Linked DNA regions of Sus scrofa. Each later gene encodes a partner of the first gene's protein in a complex. Links are inferred from orthologs where the notes say so. Each region holds a gene or a part of one and is shown in the gene's direction. Other genes may lie near its edges.

The links. The genes of interacting proteins can lie anywhere in the genome.
Region 2: the proteins of SCN7A (region 1) and SCN3B are in contact, whole or in part, in a cryo-EM structure (PDB 7TJ9), measured with the Homo sapiens proteins. The link is inferred for Sus scrofa from reciprocal best matches to the Homo sapiens genes SCN7A and SCN3B. Residues at the interface, in NP_002967.2 of Homo sapiens: Arg269, Glu293, Tyr296, Leu298, Glu299, Leu305, Gln315, Cys316, Pro317, Glu318, Gly319, Tyr320, Asn922, Ile923, Thr926, Cys927, Lys929, Ile930, Phe939, Ile956, Tyr957, Asp959, Gln960, Ile966, Tyr970, Met973, Ile974, Tyr977, Ile978, Leu981; in NP_001035241.1 of Homo sapiens: Val25, Cys26, Val27, Glu28, Val29, Arg44, Ile46, Lys50, Arg51, Glu52, Glu53, Val54, Asn95, Gly96, Ser97, Asp99, Gln101, Asp102, Phe126, Phe128, Ala130, His131, Pro133, Val135, Thr154, Ser155, Ser158, Glu159, Met162, Leu165.

The regions. Positions count from the first base shown.
Region 1 is NC_010457.5:72,945,281-72,952,218, reverse strand, and holds the end of SCN7A (sodium channel protein type 7 subunit alpha), read left to right. Parts: intron 1-4,050; coding exon 4,051-5,117; 3' UTR 5,118-6,072; downstream 6,073-6,938. UniProt on the Homo sapiens protein: Sodium leak channel functioning as an osmosensor regulating sodium ion levels in various tissues and organs. While most sodium channels are voltage-gated, SCN7A is not and lets sodium flow through membrane along its concentration gradient.
Region 2 is NC_010451.4:50,527,898-50,535,413, reverse strand, and holds the start of SCN3B (sodium channel subunit beta-3), read left to right. Parts: upstream 1-2,981; 5' UTR 2,982-3,195; exon of another isoform or gene 3,196-3,333; intron 3,334-3,368; exon of another isoform or gene 3,369-4,189; 5' UTR 4,190-4,214; coding exon 4,215-4,269; intron 4,270-7,516. UniProt on the Homo sapiens protein: Regulatory subunit of multiple voltage-gated sodium (Nav) channels directly mediating the depolarization of excitable membranes.

The DNA.
Region 1 (6,938 bases):
GGTGCTACAGCAGCACACCAGAGTGAGGAGCACCTAATCAGTAAGTAGCGGTCAGAGAAAACTTCAGGGAAGAAACAAAAATCTGAAGAGAGACCTAGTAGATAAGGAGGTAGCCAAGAAAGAATCTAGGATTAAAAAGTTTTAGGCAGAGAAAAGTCTGTTTACCTTCTGCCTTCCATGAGAGACATACTAGAATGTTATCTCCATAAGAGTAGGGACAATATTTGTGTTATTGTGAAGTACTATCTTCTGCAGTCAGTAGTGAAAAATGTAGATAAACAGGGTGCCCAGTTGTGTATCCAGAAAATGCACTCGTTCAGCTGGTAGTAGAAACAGTGCAATTAATATTGATAGACAAGTATAAGAAACTTGCTAGAAAAGTAGAAAAAGTCGAGAAAAGGCCGATAGGAAGAAAACAGAGGAAAATGGAATTAAAGAGCCCTATGAGATTGAAGTGAGAGTTACTGACATCTGGAAGGAGAGGAAATTGCAGTACAAGACAAAGTTGTTTGAATTTGGGATCTCAGAAGGTCAGGTACCCTGGGTCCAGCATGTGGCCATAGATGGGTATGACTAAAGTAAAATGATGGAGATTACTAAAGTTAGGAAAGCCAAAGACTGAATGATTAGCCTTTCAATGGGTTGTGGATGGTAGGTGCTCGGATGGAAAGGGTGAAGGTAAGCCATGTGCTAAAGTCTCCAGTGAATATAAATGAGGAGGAATGAATAGATCACAGAGCTGAGGAATGATAGGAGATGGTATAGTTGAATGGCATGATCTACAAACTGTCAAAGATTTCTTTCTTTTTTCTTTATAAAATTATCTGGAAATCACATTGGAAGGAAAGAAAAATGCTTGCTTTATCTTTCTATCTTGAGAACTATGGAATGGGAAAAAATGAGCTGTCTGTGCTTAAAGAGTATTTGCTAGGGAAATAGTATCCTCAAGATAGAGTCAGATTTTAGGTAAGAAAGGCTATGAAGAAAATTTAGAGGTGAGGAAGTTAAAACATGTTTACAATTAAATGGGGAAACCTCCTTCATGATGGAAGACTTTGGAAGATTGAGGAGAAAAGAAAATTTGAGTCAGAGCATAAGGTTTGCTAAAGCACTGTGGAAATGAGGATATCCATAAGATAGAACATCAGAGAGAATGCCATCATTGACAATTGACAGTGACTGAATTAACAGAAATGTGAGACATGAACCTTTCAGATTCAACAAACTTACCATCTCATTTAGAAGCTTCATGGGATTTTCCCCTCCTCCACCTTCTCAACTCAAAATGTGACACACAATCTTCAGCACTTCCAGAGAGCATCCCTTATTTTTTTTTTATTAACTACAATTTCACCTTGTGTTCGTTATCTCATTCCCATAGTTCCCCCCATTCTACACTGCCAAAAAGAAAAGTTCTAGGCAAAGACTAACTTATTCAATTCATATTTAAAGCTCCTAAGGGCCCAGAAACTATTTGTGGACTAAATAAGTTAAATTACAACCTGTGAATCACTGAATGCCAAATATTTTTGTAATTACATTTATCAACAAGTCTGTCTTGCATTATTTTTTTTATATTTTTTTTTATTTTCCCACTGTACAGCAAGGGGGTCAGGTTATCCTTATATGTATACATTACAATTACATTTTTCCCCCACCCTTTCTTCTGTTGCAACATGAGTATCTAGACAAAGTTCTCAATGCTATTCAGCAGGGATCTCCTTGTAAATCTATTCTAAGTTGTGTCTGATAAGCCCAAGCTCCCGATCCCTCCCACTCCCTCCCCCTCCCATCAGGCAGCCACAAGTCTCTTCTCCAAGTCCATGATTTTCTTTTCTGAGGAGATGTTCATTTGTGCTGGATATTAGATTCCAGTTATAAGTGATATCATATGGTATTTGTCTTTGTCTTTCTGGCTCATTTCACTCAGGATGAGATTCTCTAGTTCCATCCATGTTGCTGCAAATGGCATTATGGCATTCTTTTTTATGGCTGAGTAGTATTCCGTTGTGTATATATACCAGCTCTTCCGAATCCAATCATCTGTCGATGGACATTTGGGTTGTTTCCATGTCCTGGCTATTGTGAATAGGGCTGCAATGAACATGCGGGTGCATGCATCTCTTTTAAGTAGAGTTTTGTCCGGATAGATGCCCAGGAGTGGGATTGCGGGGTCATATGGAAGTTCTATGTATAGATTTCTAAGGTATGTCCAAACTGTTCTCCATAGTGGCTGTACCAGTTTACATTCCCACCAACAGTGCAGGAGGGTTCCCTTTTCTCCACAGCCCCTCCAGCACTTGTTATTTGTGAATTTATTAATGATGGCCATTCTGACTGGTGTGAGGTGGTATCTCATGGTAGTTTTGATTTGCATTTCTCTTATAATCCGCGATGTGGAGCATTTTTTCATGTGTTTGTTGGCCATCTGTATATCTTCTTTGGAGAAATGTCTATTCAGGTCTTTTGCCCATTTTTCCATTGATTGATTGGCTTTTTTGCTGTTGGGTTGTATAAGTTGTTTATATATTCTAGAGATTAAGCCCTTGTCAGTTGCATCATTTGAAACTGTTTTCTCCCATTCTGAAAGTTGTCTTTTTGTTTTCTTTTGGGTTTCCTTTGCTGTGCAAAAGCTTTTCAGTTTGATGAGGTCCCATGGGTTTATTTTTGCTCTAATTTCTGTTGCTTTGGGAGACTGACCTGAGAAAATATTCATGATGTTGATGTCAGAGAGTGTTTTGCCTATGTTTTCTTCTAGGAGTTTGATGGTGTCCTGTCGTATATTTAAGTCTTTCAGCCATTTGGAGTTTATTTTTGTGCATGGTGTGAGGGTGTGTTCTAGTTTCATTGCTCTGCATGTTGCTGTCCAGGTTTCCCAGCAATGCTTGCTGAATAGACTTTCTTTTTCCCGTTTTATGTTCTTGCCTCCCTTGTCAAAGATTAATTGACCATAGGTGTCAGGGTTTATTTCCGGATTCTCTATTCTGTTCCATTGGTCTGTCTGTCTGTTTTGATACCAGTACCACACTGTTTTGATGACTGTGGCTTTGTAGTATTTCTTGAAGTCTGGGAGAGTTATGCCTCCTGCTTGGTTTTTGTTTCTCAGGATTGCTTTGGCGATTCTAGGTCTTTTGTTGTTCCATATAAATGTTTGGATTGTTTGTTCTAGTTCTGTGAACAATGCCATGGGTAATTTGATAGGGATTGCATTGAATCTGTAGATTGCTTTGGGTAGTATGGCCATTTTTACAATATTGATTTTCCCAATCCAGGAACATGGAATATCTTTCCATTTCTTTACATCTTCTTTGATTTCTTTGATTAAGGTTTTATAGTTCTCGGCATATAGGTCCTTTACCTCCTTGGTCAGGTGTATTCCGAGGTATTTGATTTTGTGAGGTACAATTTTAAAAGGTATCGTATTTTTGTATTCCTTTTCTAATATTTCATTGCTGGTATACAGAAATGCAACTGACTTCTGAATGTTAATCTTATATCCTGCTACTTTGCTGAATTTATTAATCAGTTCAAGTAGTTTTGGGGTTAAGTCCTTAGGGTTTTCTGTGTATAGTATCATGTCATCTGCATACAGTGTCTGTCTTGCATTATAATTAGCTTATATGTATACTTCTACTCTTTATATTATATGGTCTCTGCAGACAGGAGTCATGTTATTCATCTTAGCATATTTTCATGACACTTTCATTAAGTATCCAATAAAGCTTGGGTTGAAATAAATTTCTTGATCTAACTGCAATCAGAAAAATATGACTACTGTTCTATATTATGGATTCATTCTATCTGTGATTCCTGAAGTGCTTGACTGATAATACTCTTAAAATGATGGTAGAAATAATTCCCTTCCAAATTTTGCTAGATACTCTGAGCATTGCCACAGTTAGTATTTGGCTATCCCAAACTTTCATATGTGCTAAATGTTATATTGGAAGGATTAATAAGATTACTTTAGCATATAGGACAAAACCAATGAAATGTGAAATAATTTATATTCCTCTAAATAATTATATGGCCTGCTTTCCCTCTATCCAGGACTATTTCTGCCTCTGACGGTAGGATATTACCTTGTACCTCCTTCCCTTGTGCAACTGATACTTCTCTCACGGATCATCCACATCCTGCGTCCTGAGAAAGGACCAAAGATGTTCCATGATCTGCTGCTTCCTTTGATGCTGTCACTCCCCGCATTGTTGAACATCAGTCTTCTCATCTTCCTGGTCATGTTTGTCTACGCCATCTTCGGAATGTACAGTTTTGCCTATGTTAAAAAGGGAGGTGGAATTAATGATGTGTCCAACTTTGAAACCTTTGGCAGCAGTATGCTCTGTCTTTTCCAAGTTACAGTATTTTCTGGTTGGGATCAAATGCTTGATGCAATTTTCAACAGCAAATGGTCTGACTGTGATCCTGATAAAATTAATCCTGGGACTCAGGTTAGAGGAGACTGTGGTAACCCCACAGTTGGGATTATTTATTTTGTCAGTTATATCCTCATATCATGGCTGATCATTATAAACATGTACATTGTTGCTGTCATGGAGTTTTTAAATATTGCTTCTAAAAAAAAAGCCAAGACATTGAGTGAAGATGATTTTAGGAAATTCTTTCAGGTATGGAAGAGGTATGATCCTGATAGAACCCAGTATATAGACTCTAGCAAGCTTTCCGATTTTGCAGCTGCTCTTGATCCTCCTCTTTTCATGGCAAAACCAAACAAGGGCCAACTCGTTGCCATGGATCTTCCCATGGCTGTTGGGGACAGAATTCATTGCCTTGATGTCTTACTTGCTTTAACAAAGCGAGTTATGGATAAAGATGTGAAGATGGAGAAAGTTCTTTCAGAGATAGAATCAGGGTTTATGTTAGCCAACCCTTTTAAGATCACATATGAGCCAATTACAACTACTCTGAAACGAAAACAAGAGGCAGTCTCAGCAACTATCATTCAACGTGCTTATAAAAGTTACCGTTTGAGGCAAAATGACAGAAACACACCAGACAGTCATGTGATAGACAATGACAAGGAAGTCCAGATTATCAAAGAAGATTCTGATTTTGAAAAGGCTGAGGGAAAGGCAACAATTCAAAGTCAAATCTAATCCCACACTATCTTTTCACCTTCTTTGCATATCCTGCAAATGTTAAAAATTTAAATCAGAAATAAAAGCAAAGATCAGAGAAAGAAAATATTTTACTTAATAATCAATTGTTTACAACCCATAGCAGATAATCTTGTACTCACAAGATCCCATGCCCAGTTCACTTTTACCTCTGTATATTCAGTCTAGCCAAGACAACCCCTTACTATCACTGGAGAGTTAAACTGGGTTAAAATTGTCATTTGATAACCCAGTGCTTGTTTTCTCTGTATGGCTTACATGATATGCACTTCTTCTGGAGGATGGGGGAGGTAGTGGCTGCAATTAGTAGCAAAAGGACTTTCTTATATATTTTATGTCTGCTTTAACTTGATAGATTCAAGTCACCACTGATAGGACTTAAGTTCCAAATAAACAAGTACTTTCTTAATGTGGGGTGGTGTTTAAAAAAAAAATTGTACAGTGCTACCAGCCATTAAATCATAAATTTGCCTAAACAGATGGCAATCAGGGGAAGAAGAAATACAGTTCTTAGAAAGTGCCTTGGAGATCAGTCACACAGACTCTTGGGGTGATTCAAACCACTTTTGAAAAAGATTAATTAGAGCTTAAGTTCTGTTTCTGATTGCTTTTGTTTTATTTTCTTTTTGATAACTGTGGATTAAGGTTGTTTCATTTTTCATTGTGGTTTCTTATCTTTGGCTAGTTCCAGCTAAGGTCCAGCTCTTTAACAGAATGGATTCCTACAATAATCAGCATAGAGGAAACTATAGTTATGGTCTACATTTTTTAAATTTTCTTATTTCTCATTGGGAAACAGTGGCCTCTTTAAAGTACTTTTCACTGTACTTTATTTTTTTTTATAACTTTGAGAAAAAAGTGATCACTAAAACTATGTGGACTCAAATAGGAGATCAAAGTGTGAGTTTATTGGTTGTGGTGTTTTATAACGTTAGTGAATGCAAATTAGTTTGCACTGATTTATTTTTCCAAGTTTTTTTTGTTGGTTTGTTTTTATCACGTACATAATAACTCTGTAAAAAGTTTTATGTTTGAAAATTTTTAAAGTCCTAAACATTAATTTTCACTAGTAAAATTGTTTCTTAAGGATAGGCACAAATATGAAGAAAGCATAAAAATGCAGTCACTTGCATCCCTGTAGTCTGAGATTCTGATATTTCTTCCATTTGTATTAAGATTGATTTCAATGTGCCTACAAAGTCCTAAAGGATTCAAAAAGAAAATATATATACTCTTGACTTAAATGACGTTTTAAATATGTTGTATGACATTCAGTATCACTTAAATATCAGCAATTGTATTTTATTATGAATGCATGATCCCGATTGAGCCTTAACTATTATAATCTATTTCTGCTGCTCAGAAATGTATTAACCTGACCAAGATGCCTTTGGGGACCCCCCCCCCAAGCAAATGTAATTTCAGGGTTCTGTTTCTTTCAATAAGTGTTCCTTCCTTCTCTCCTCCCCTTCTCCATCATGTGTTGGAGACCAGTGAGGAGTCAGTACTAATTTAGGGGCATGGTAAGAGCCAGTGCTTTATCTAAGCTTCTCAGTTTTCTATTTCTTGGAAATGCTTTGATGTGGAAACTGCTTCAAATATTTAAACTTAACTTGCTTCTGTAAATTCCATAAAGATTATGAACTGATTTTAGTTTGAAAATTGTATCTTTTAATTGAAATCATTTGCCATTAACCTCCCAAAAACTATGTAAAGAATTATTTTTAACAAAGTCTTACAATATATTCTACTTTTTAGATACTAAAGAAAATAATAAATCTAACCTGTTAACCACACTAA
Region 2 (7,516 bases), on another chromosome or scaffold:
TAGCTTCAGGTGTGGGAAGTGGGTAGGAAGTTTAGAAAGTGTGTCTGAGAAAAAGTCACTTGAGGCAAGACCAGAATGATAAGAAACCAGCCATAGAATGAAGAGCATTCTGGGTAGAGGGCAGGTCTGGTGCAAAGGCTCTATTATGGGAAAGAACTTGATAAGTTTGAGGTACATTTTTTAAAAGTCAAGTGTAACCAGAACATTGTGGACAAGACAGAGAATGGTAGACATGAGTGTCAAGAGATAGGCAGGGCTCAGAGCAGGCCTTGCTAGACCACAATGAGGATTCTAGATTTTACTAGTTTATTATTCAGTGAGATGCTATTGAAGAGCTTTAAGCAAGAAAGGTGCATGATATCTTGGAATACAGAGCGTGTCTGGCTACTGTTTATAGAGTAGAAACTAAGTTTCACTATCAACTCTAAGGGGAAGATAATCATCAAATTGGAAAAGGTTAAAAAAAAGCCCCAAAGTCAAACAAATAACAACAGCCCCCTCCAAAAAAACCCAAAAAAAACCAACAAGAGCAAAAAAGGATTGAAATCGAAATGGCAGAAAGAAAGAGGAAAGAGTAACTTAATTCAAATGAGTTAAAACCTCTCAGAACAAAGCCAGATGTACTTTAGGGAACTTAAGGTACTTGTGAAAGTGACTGAACGTTACTGCCAAAAATCAAAGGAAATGTCAGAAGACTGAAAAGACCAAATGCTCCTGTTTTCAATAGAGGAGAGACAGGGGAAGCGGTTTACGCAAACTAGAAGCAAGTACATTGTTCTTAAAATCTCATGTAAGGTTCTCAAAGTGACTGTATAAAATGGGGTTTGTAAACATTTAGAGAAGAACACTGTGATGAAAGACAATCGGCACAAATAGGCATAAGAAAAACATGTAAGATTAAGCTAGTTCCTGCTGCAGTAGTGTAGTGGTTGATAGAATTACCAGACTGAAAATATATCATTCTTTGTATTTGGGTGAGGCTTTCAATAAAATCATAGAATCTCAAAGATGATTGGAACTTTATCAATAATCTATTCCTACTTTCTAACCTACAGAATTTTTTTTTTCTACAACAGCCCATTAATTCTTTGGATAACAACTACTTGAACAGAATAAATGGTAATTCATTCTAGTTTGGAATAACTTGAAATATATTGATGAAAATCTGTTTCTGTATAAATATAAACCTTAGATCCTACCTCTCCTCTGGATCATTATAAGTCTAATTCGTCTCATATATACCCCTTGTTTTCAATTTTCAGAATGTGTGAGGGAGGAAAAAGTAGGGAGATTTGCTTGGGTATTTATTTGTCTAATTAGTCAAACTAGAGTGAGGTCTCTAAAACCATGCTAAAGAACTCGTCTTTGTTTTTTCTGTCCATTAAAAAATATATATCTATATTTGGGTCAAGTGATCATCAAGCCAGAAATAAAACAAAACTAGAGATGTCAGATGATTAAATCTACATTCAATACAAGTGTTACTAGCAGGTGATAATTGGTTAAAACTAATACATTTTAACAGCAGTAATTACAGAGGTTTTCTCCCAAGATTCCCTGTATAAGTACAGGATGACTTAGCAACAGGTTGAGTGAAAAATACTTAAGGATTTTAATTGACCGTAGCTCATTATAAGTGAGCTATGGCAAATGTGGCTGAAGAGACATAGGCAAGTGTGGCCATGATTCCTCTGGATTTATGCTGGTCAGTCCTCCACAGGAAGCATTAGCTCCTGTTCTGGATGTCACTTGGAGAACCATGCAGACAAACTAAAAATCCTTCCGAGAAAGTGCCAGGGAGTTGAGGGTTGGAAACAACTAAGAAATATGCTGGAAGAAACTTATGAAGCTTAGCTCCCCCAAAAAGTCTGGAGTGGGGTGTGGGGAAAGCATAGTGTTCTCTCTCTCTCTCTTTTTTGTCTTTTTAGGGCTGCTCCCATGGCACATGGAGGTTTCCCAGGCTAGGTCGAATTGGAGCTGCAGCCACTGGCCTACACCGCAGCCACAGCAACGCCAGATCCGAGCCATGTCTGCAACCTGTACACCACAGCTCATGGCAACGCCGTATCCTTAATCCACTGAGCAAGGCCAGGGATCGAACCCTCATCCTCCTGGATACTAGTCAGATTCGTTTCTGCTGAGCCATGATGAGAACTCCCAAGCATAGCTGTTTTAAGGAAAACAGTTTGCGGACAACTTAATGGAGTTTGCGGAGGAAGGAGGAGTGTACAGAATTTGATGGAATATAAAGAACGTTTTTAAACATTAGAAGGGACTGACTCCTGAGGTAGTAAGCTCTCATCACTGACAAAGGCCGAGCATGTGTATCAGGAATGTCCTTGGAGGATTCAAGAATTGCAAAGGAAGTTGAATTAAGTCGACTTTTAACTTCTCACCCAAGTCTAACACACTGTGATTCTTCGGTCTTCAAAGAAACATAGAGTTTATGGCCTGGTGGCTCCCTGCCCAGGAAGAAGGACATTCAGTTGCTCTGTGACATATTAGGAGAGAGAATTTCCTGAGGATGGTTCACTTACAGTCAGCTGTTCTCTGCTGTTCTTTTTTGGTATATCAGTGTCAAACTTCCCCTTTTGGAAAGGGAGCAGTAGGGAATGAGAAGGGAGAAGTTCTTGTATTAATCTTTCACTTCAGTTCCAGGCATTCCTAATCTATTATGTCAATTTGAGTTAATAACTAAATTTAAAGGGTCAGGTTTCCCTGCCAGAGATGGGGTGGGGCATTGAAACAGCTGCTAGGCACTAGGGTGAGGCTAATGGTTGGAAGAAACCAAACCACAGCATGTTTTTAAACTTTAAAAAAAAAGTGATTAGCTCAAGAGGGAGTTTCCCACCTCCAAGTGTTGCACTGATATTTAATTCACCTCACCGGGTGAGGAGGTGAACGTGGAAACAGGTGTGCCGCACTCCTACCCCACTTCTAAGCAGATATTATTTTTCTGCGTTCAGTGCGCCCAGAACCAATTAATCAAGGCTAGACAAAGGATATACCCGGAGAACAGGAGGGGATGGGGTCGGGGGAGAGAATCTGGGAGCCATGTACAGTGTACATTGCAGATGACATCATTGCCTGAAAGAGATTCGGCCCTCCTCTTCCCGGAGCTGGAGGCGAGCATGTCTGTAGAGGAGCAGGAGTGGTGAATTGGTGGGAGGAGGCGTGCCCGTGTTGAGAGGAGAGGTGTGAGATGTGACAGGGAGACCTGGAGACAGCCCGCAAGCAGAGAAATCTCGGGGGCTGAGGTGTTTGCGCCGCTCAGAGCTCCGCCCCCAGCTCGGCAGCCGGAATCGGCCCTGGGAGGGGCACGCCTGTTTGGGGGTGGGGAGTGTTGCACGAGGGGGTGGGTCTGTGGTGGCTGTGGGGGTGGAGAACCGCCTGCGCATGTCAAGGCTGACAGAGCATACACGGTCAAGGGGGCCTGGAGGAAGGGCAGCTGGTCACTAGCCACACAGGGTCGGGGCCCCGGCTCGATTCCCGGGAGCTCCGGGAAAGGGGCCCACCCCCACCCCACCGCCCCACCTCTGAAATCGCCAGCCAAACAGGAGCTTCCTCCTCCTTCCCGGCCCCTCCGGACCTCCCCGGGAAGCCTCAGCGGGTGTGGACGGGAACGAATTTTATAGCTCAGACGGCGGCCCCGGAGGCTTCGGGTGTGAGGGCACGCCCAGCTGGAGAAGCCGGCTAGGGCGGAGGAAGCTGGAGCTCCCGGGTCTGGGTGGATCCAAGGTCGGAGCGTAGCTATTCGTAGGGAGGTGAGAGGTGGATCAACATGGACCCCTTCGACAGCCCAGCCTCCTAGAGCCGGCCTGCTGCTCACTTCGGAGCTGAGCTTTCCCCGAGGCGCAAACAAGAGAAGCAGCGGAGCAACTGAATTGGAAGTTCCGGGGTGGGCGGGGAAGGTACTGTCCGTGGTGCTGAGCCGGATCCCAGCAACGGGCTCCAGGGAGAGAGGCGCGCCAAGCTGCTGATCGGCTCCCTCGAATGAGGGCGGTCTGTAGGGTGGCTTGGAGCTGAAACCCCCGCCCGGCTCAAGAAGCCCGCAGAGCTTCCCCGGTCACCGGCACTTGGCCATTATTTCAGTCAGAAAGTCGCCCCCTTGGGGCAGTTCGTCCCAGAGGGTTTCCTCGAAAGTATCCGAGAGGGAGCAGTTGTTGACCCAGGGAATCTCTCTGTTTAGCCCAGGAAGCCACCTGCCGAAGAAGATGCCTGCCTTCAACAGCTTGTTTCCCCTGGCTTCCCTCGTGCTCATCTTGTGGGGTAAGTACTGGCACCCTGCCATGCGACATGCAGGTAACAGTAATAATGCTAACAAGAATAACACTGATGTCGTTGGTGACAAAAAAAGGAGCCTGGTTGGCTTCCCTCTGTGCATGTCTGCCAGACATGGGATCCAGAGGGGTTCCATGAGAGCTGGGATTTTGAGATGGGAAAAAGGCCTCCCCAGTGCCCTGCTGCTTTATTCCTAAACCTCCCTTGGTGGTTTTTCCACCCTTCCTCCTGTTCCTGTTAATTCCAAAGTATTCTTTCCCTTTCTCTTTGCTGAAAGAGAATGCAATCACGTTCATTATAAAAAAATCTTGGTTGCAATTAATTTCGTTTCTTAATGTGGAGTCATTGGAGCTTCAAATTAATTTTTATGTATTAAAAAACCAGAGGCATGTATTTTGAGAGTGGAAATAGTTGTTGATCTACCTGTTTAATTTTAATAAGGGAAACAGGTTTCAGCCATTTGCAGCTACATATTAGATATATAGGCACCTGAGAATTGTATCTTCTTTTTCCTAAACATGTGGAGCTAAGGTGCTTTGGTGTTTGGGGAGCTGGTTTTTTTTTTTTTTTTTTTTTTTTTGCCTTCAGCAATAAATAGGTTTTTGTTTGTCTGCCGTGAAGGGGTGAGGTGACCTTCTCTCTCCAAATAAGGGAGTCCTATACTTGTAACAGTAAGGCTGAGCAGAGTGGTATTAGAGATGGGCTTGGAGTGGGGTGCCTGCATGTGTGTAGTGGGAGTTAATGAGTCTACATGTATGTCTGAATATGCGATTGAGAAAATGCTTTACTGTGTATCCCTCAGTGTTTGAATGTGTGTGCTAGTGTATGTCTGAGCATGTTAGTATAGGCATCGAAATGGATTGATGAGGATGTAGTACTGTGTGTGTGTGTGTGTGTGTGTGTGTGTGTGTGTGTGTGTGTGGTGTGTATTTGTGTAGTTCTGGGCATCTCAGTCTTGGTGACTTTGATTAGATCCTCAGGTCAAATATATTTGATATATTGCTTTACATAATCTTAGCTACCTTCCTCTATGCTAAAAATAAAAAACCAGGATAATTAGATGTGAGTGTGCATACCTGCCTTATTAAAACTGGGGATGTGTTCTATGGTTGGCATGGAACTTAGTATGCCAGTGCAGTGGCAGATATGCTGATCAGATTTGAATCGCCTCTTTACCTTAGTATCACTTTATTAAGCCTCCAGGACTAACTATGGTTGCCAGCATTATCTGGATTTTGCATGTGACCAGAAGCAGAGCCAAGCTTCCTGTTGAACAAAATGCCGATGAGACAGGCTGGGAAGGACAAAGGGGGAGAGTAATGCCAGTCCCAAAGGCAGACTCACCGCCATCCATCCCCAGTAGAGTAGACCAGACCTGAAGATAAAGCAGACATAATAGGTTGCCAATGACCTCACCTGTCTTGAGGACTTAAGGCTGAGATTTCCCCAGGGGAGGCTAAGACTAGGGACCTGAGGCTTAGGAGCAGTGAGTTTAGCTGCATGAGAAAGAATGTGGGTAAAGCAATGGGAGATGATGTAGAGAGGGTTGGTGTGAGATTCTACAGGGTCTTTCTTCCCAAATTCTAATCTAAGTTTTTAGCATCCTTGCCTGAATTCTAGTAGAGGGGGAGAACATACTATAGTCTAAACACCTTTTGAGAATTTACAAAGCCTAGATTGGAGTCTTAGCTCTGCCACTAGCTTGCGATGTAATAACCTTAGAATAGCTGGTTCCTCATATACACGTTTTTTGGAGATACGTAAGTTTGGCAGTTGGGGCAGATGATATCTAACATCTCTTAACTACACAATTGGAATGTTAGGGAAATATTTACAGAATACTGCTAAAATTGGCAGAGTGCCCAGTCTTCCTCCCTGATCCTCAGTCTCCCTGCAAAAAACCTTTGGAAGAAGTGTATATATTACACCTATCCTTGTCCATCCTCAGCTTTTCAACATTGGCTCACCAAATTCAGAAGCCACAGAAGGGAAAGAGGGATGATTCAGGAAGCCTTACCATTAAATGTAAGAGAGAGGGCCTTGCTTCACGAATGCAGTTTCATTTTATTTGCATGTAATTCCAGTGTTGGAAAGCACTTTGCTTAGATGCCCTCTCCCTCTCCAAGTTGATTTGTCACATGATGCAAATATGAATGGAATGGAATCTTGTCCTTTTTTTTTTTTTTTTTTTGGCTTTTTGTCTTTTTAGGGCCACACCCACGGCATATGGAGGTTCCCAGGCTAGGGGTCCAATCGGATCTGTAGTTGTTGGCCTACGCCACAGCCACAGCAACTCCAGATCCGAGCCATGTCTGCAACCCACACCACAGCTCACGGCAACCCGCTGAGTGAGGCCAGGGATTGGACCGGAAACCTCGTGGTTCCTAGTCGGATTTGTTTCCACTGCACCACAATGGGAACTCTTTTTTTTTTTTTTTTTTTTTTTTGGTCTAGAGACCATTCTTCTATTTTCTGCATGAATTGAACAAAATTCTCTCATTTCCTTCAATAAGTATATGGTAATAATAGTAATCCTATGCTTCCCTGGTGCTTTACAGTTTACAAAGCAATTTTCAGCCTATTACTTCTTTTGGCCCCCATATCAATCCTATGGTGGTATTCAGGAAAGGTAGATTATTTCCAATTTAGAGATGAGAAAACGAGTACAGGGGAGGGGAAAGGACTTTCTAGAGGACTTTTGCCTCTTGATTTCAATCTCCCAGAGCTTGTTCTAGCTCCTCTTATGGACACATGTGATGCTATGCAGGATTGCCAGATGGGCACTGGTCCTCTCATTCCTCTTTGAAGCCACCTTTCCACCCCTCTCTCATGCCATTGCCTTCCCTAGAGCCCTACTCATTCTTTACCTCCTAGTGTCTGCTCTGCTCTTCCTCTCCAAGTTCACTTCCCCAGTTGTCTGTTGTGTTGGAAATATTTTTCTCTCTTCCCCCTGCGTCCCATTCTTTCAAGTCTCTGCTTGGTGACTGGCTAATTTGATAAGTCATTTCACGGTGTTAATTTCTACAAATAATGCCATTTATTGCCCCCTTTTGGAAGGTATTTACACTCTAATCAAAGCCTTTATTATCTTAGCACAAAGGAAAGCATTCTAGAGCAAAGTCAATAGAGGCAATATAGCAATATCCAAAGAAGAAAAAGATTTGGAGTTATTAGAGGGGTTGGTTACATACACATTACTATCCACCTCATAATAGATTAATGCTATTCCTTAGTT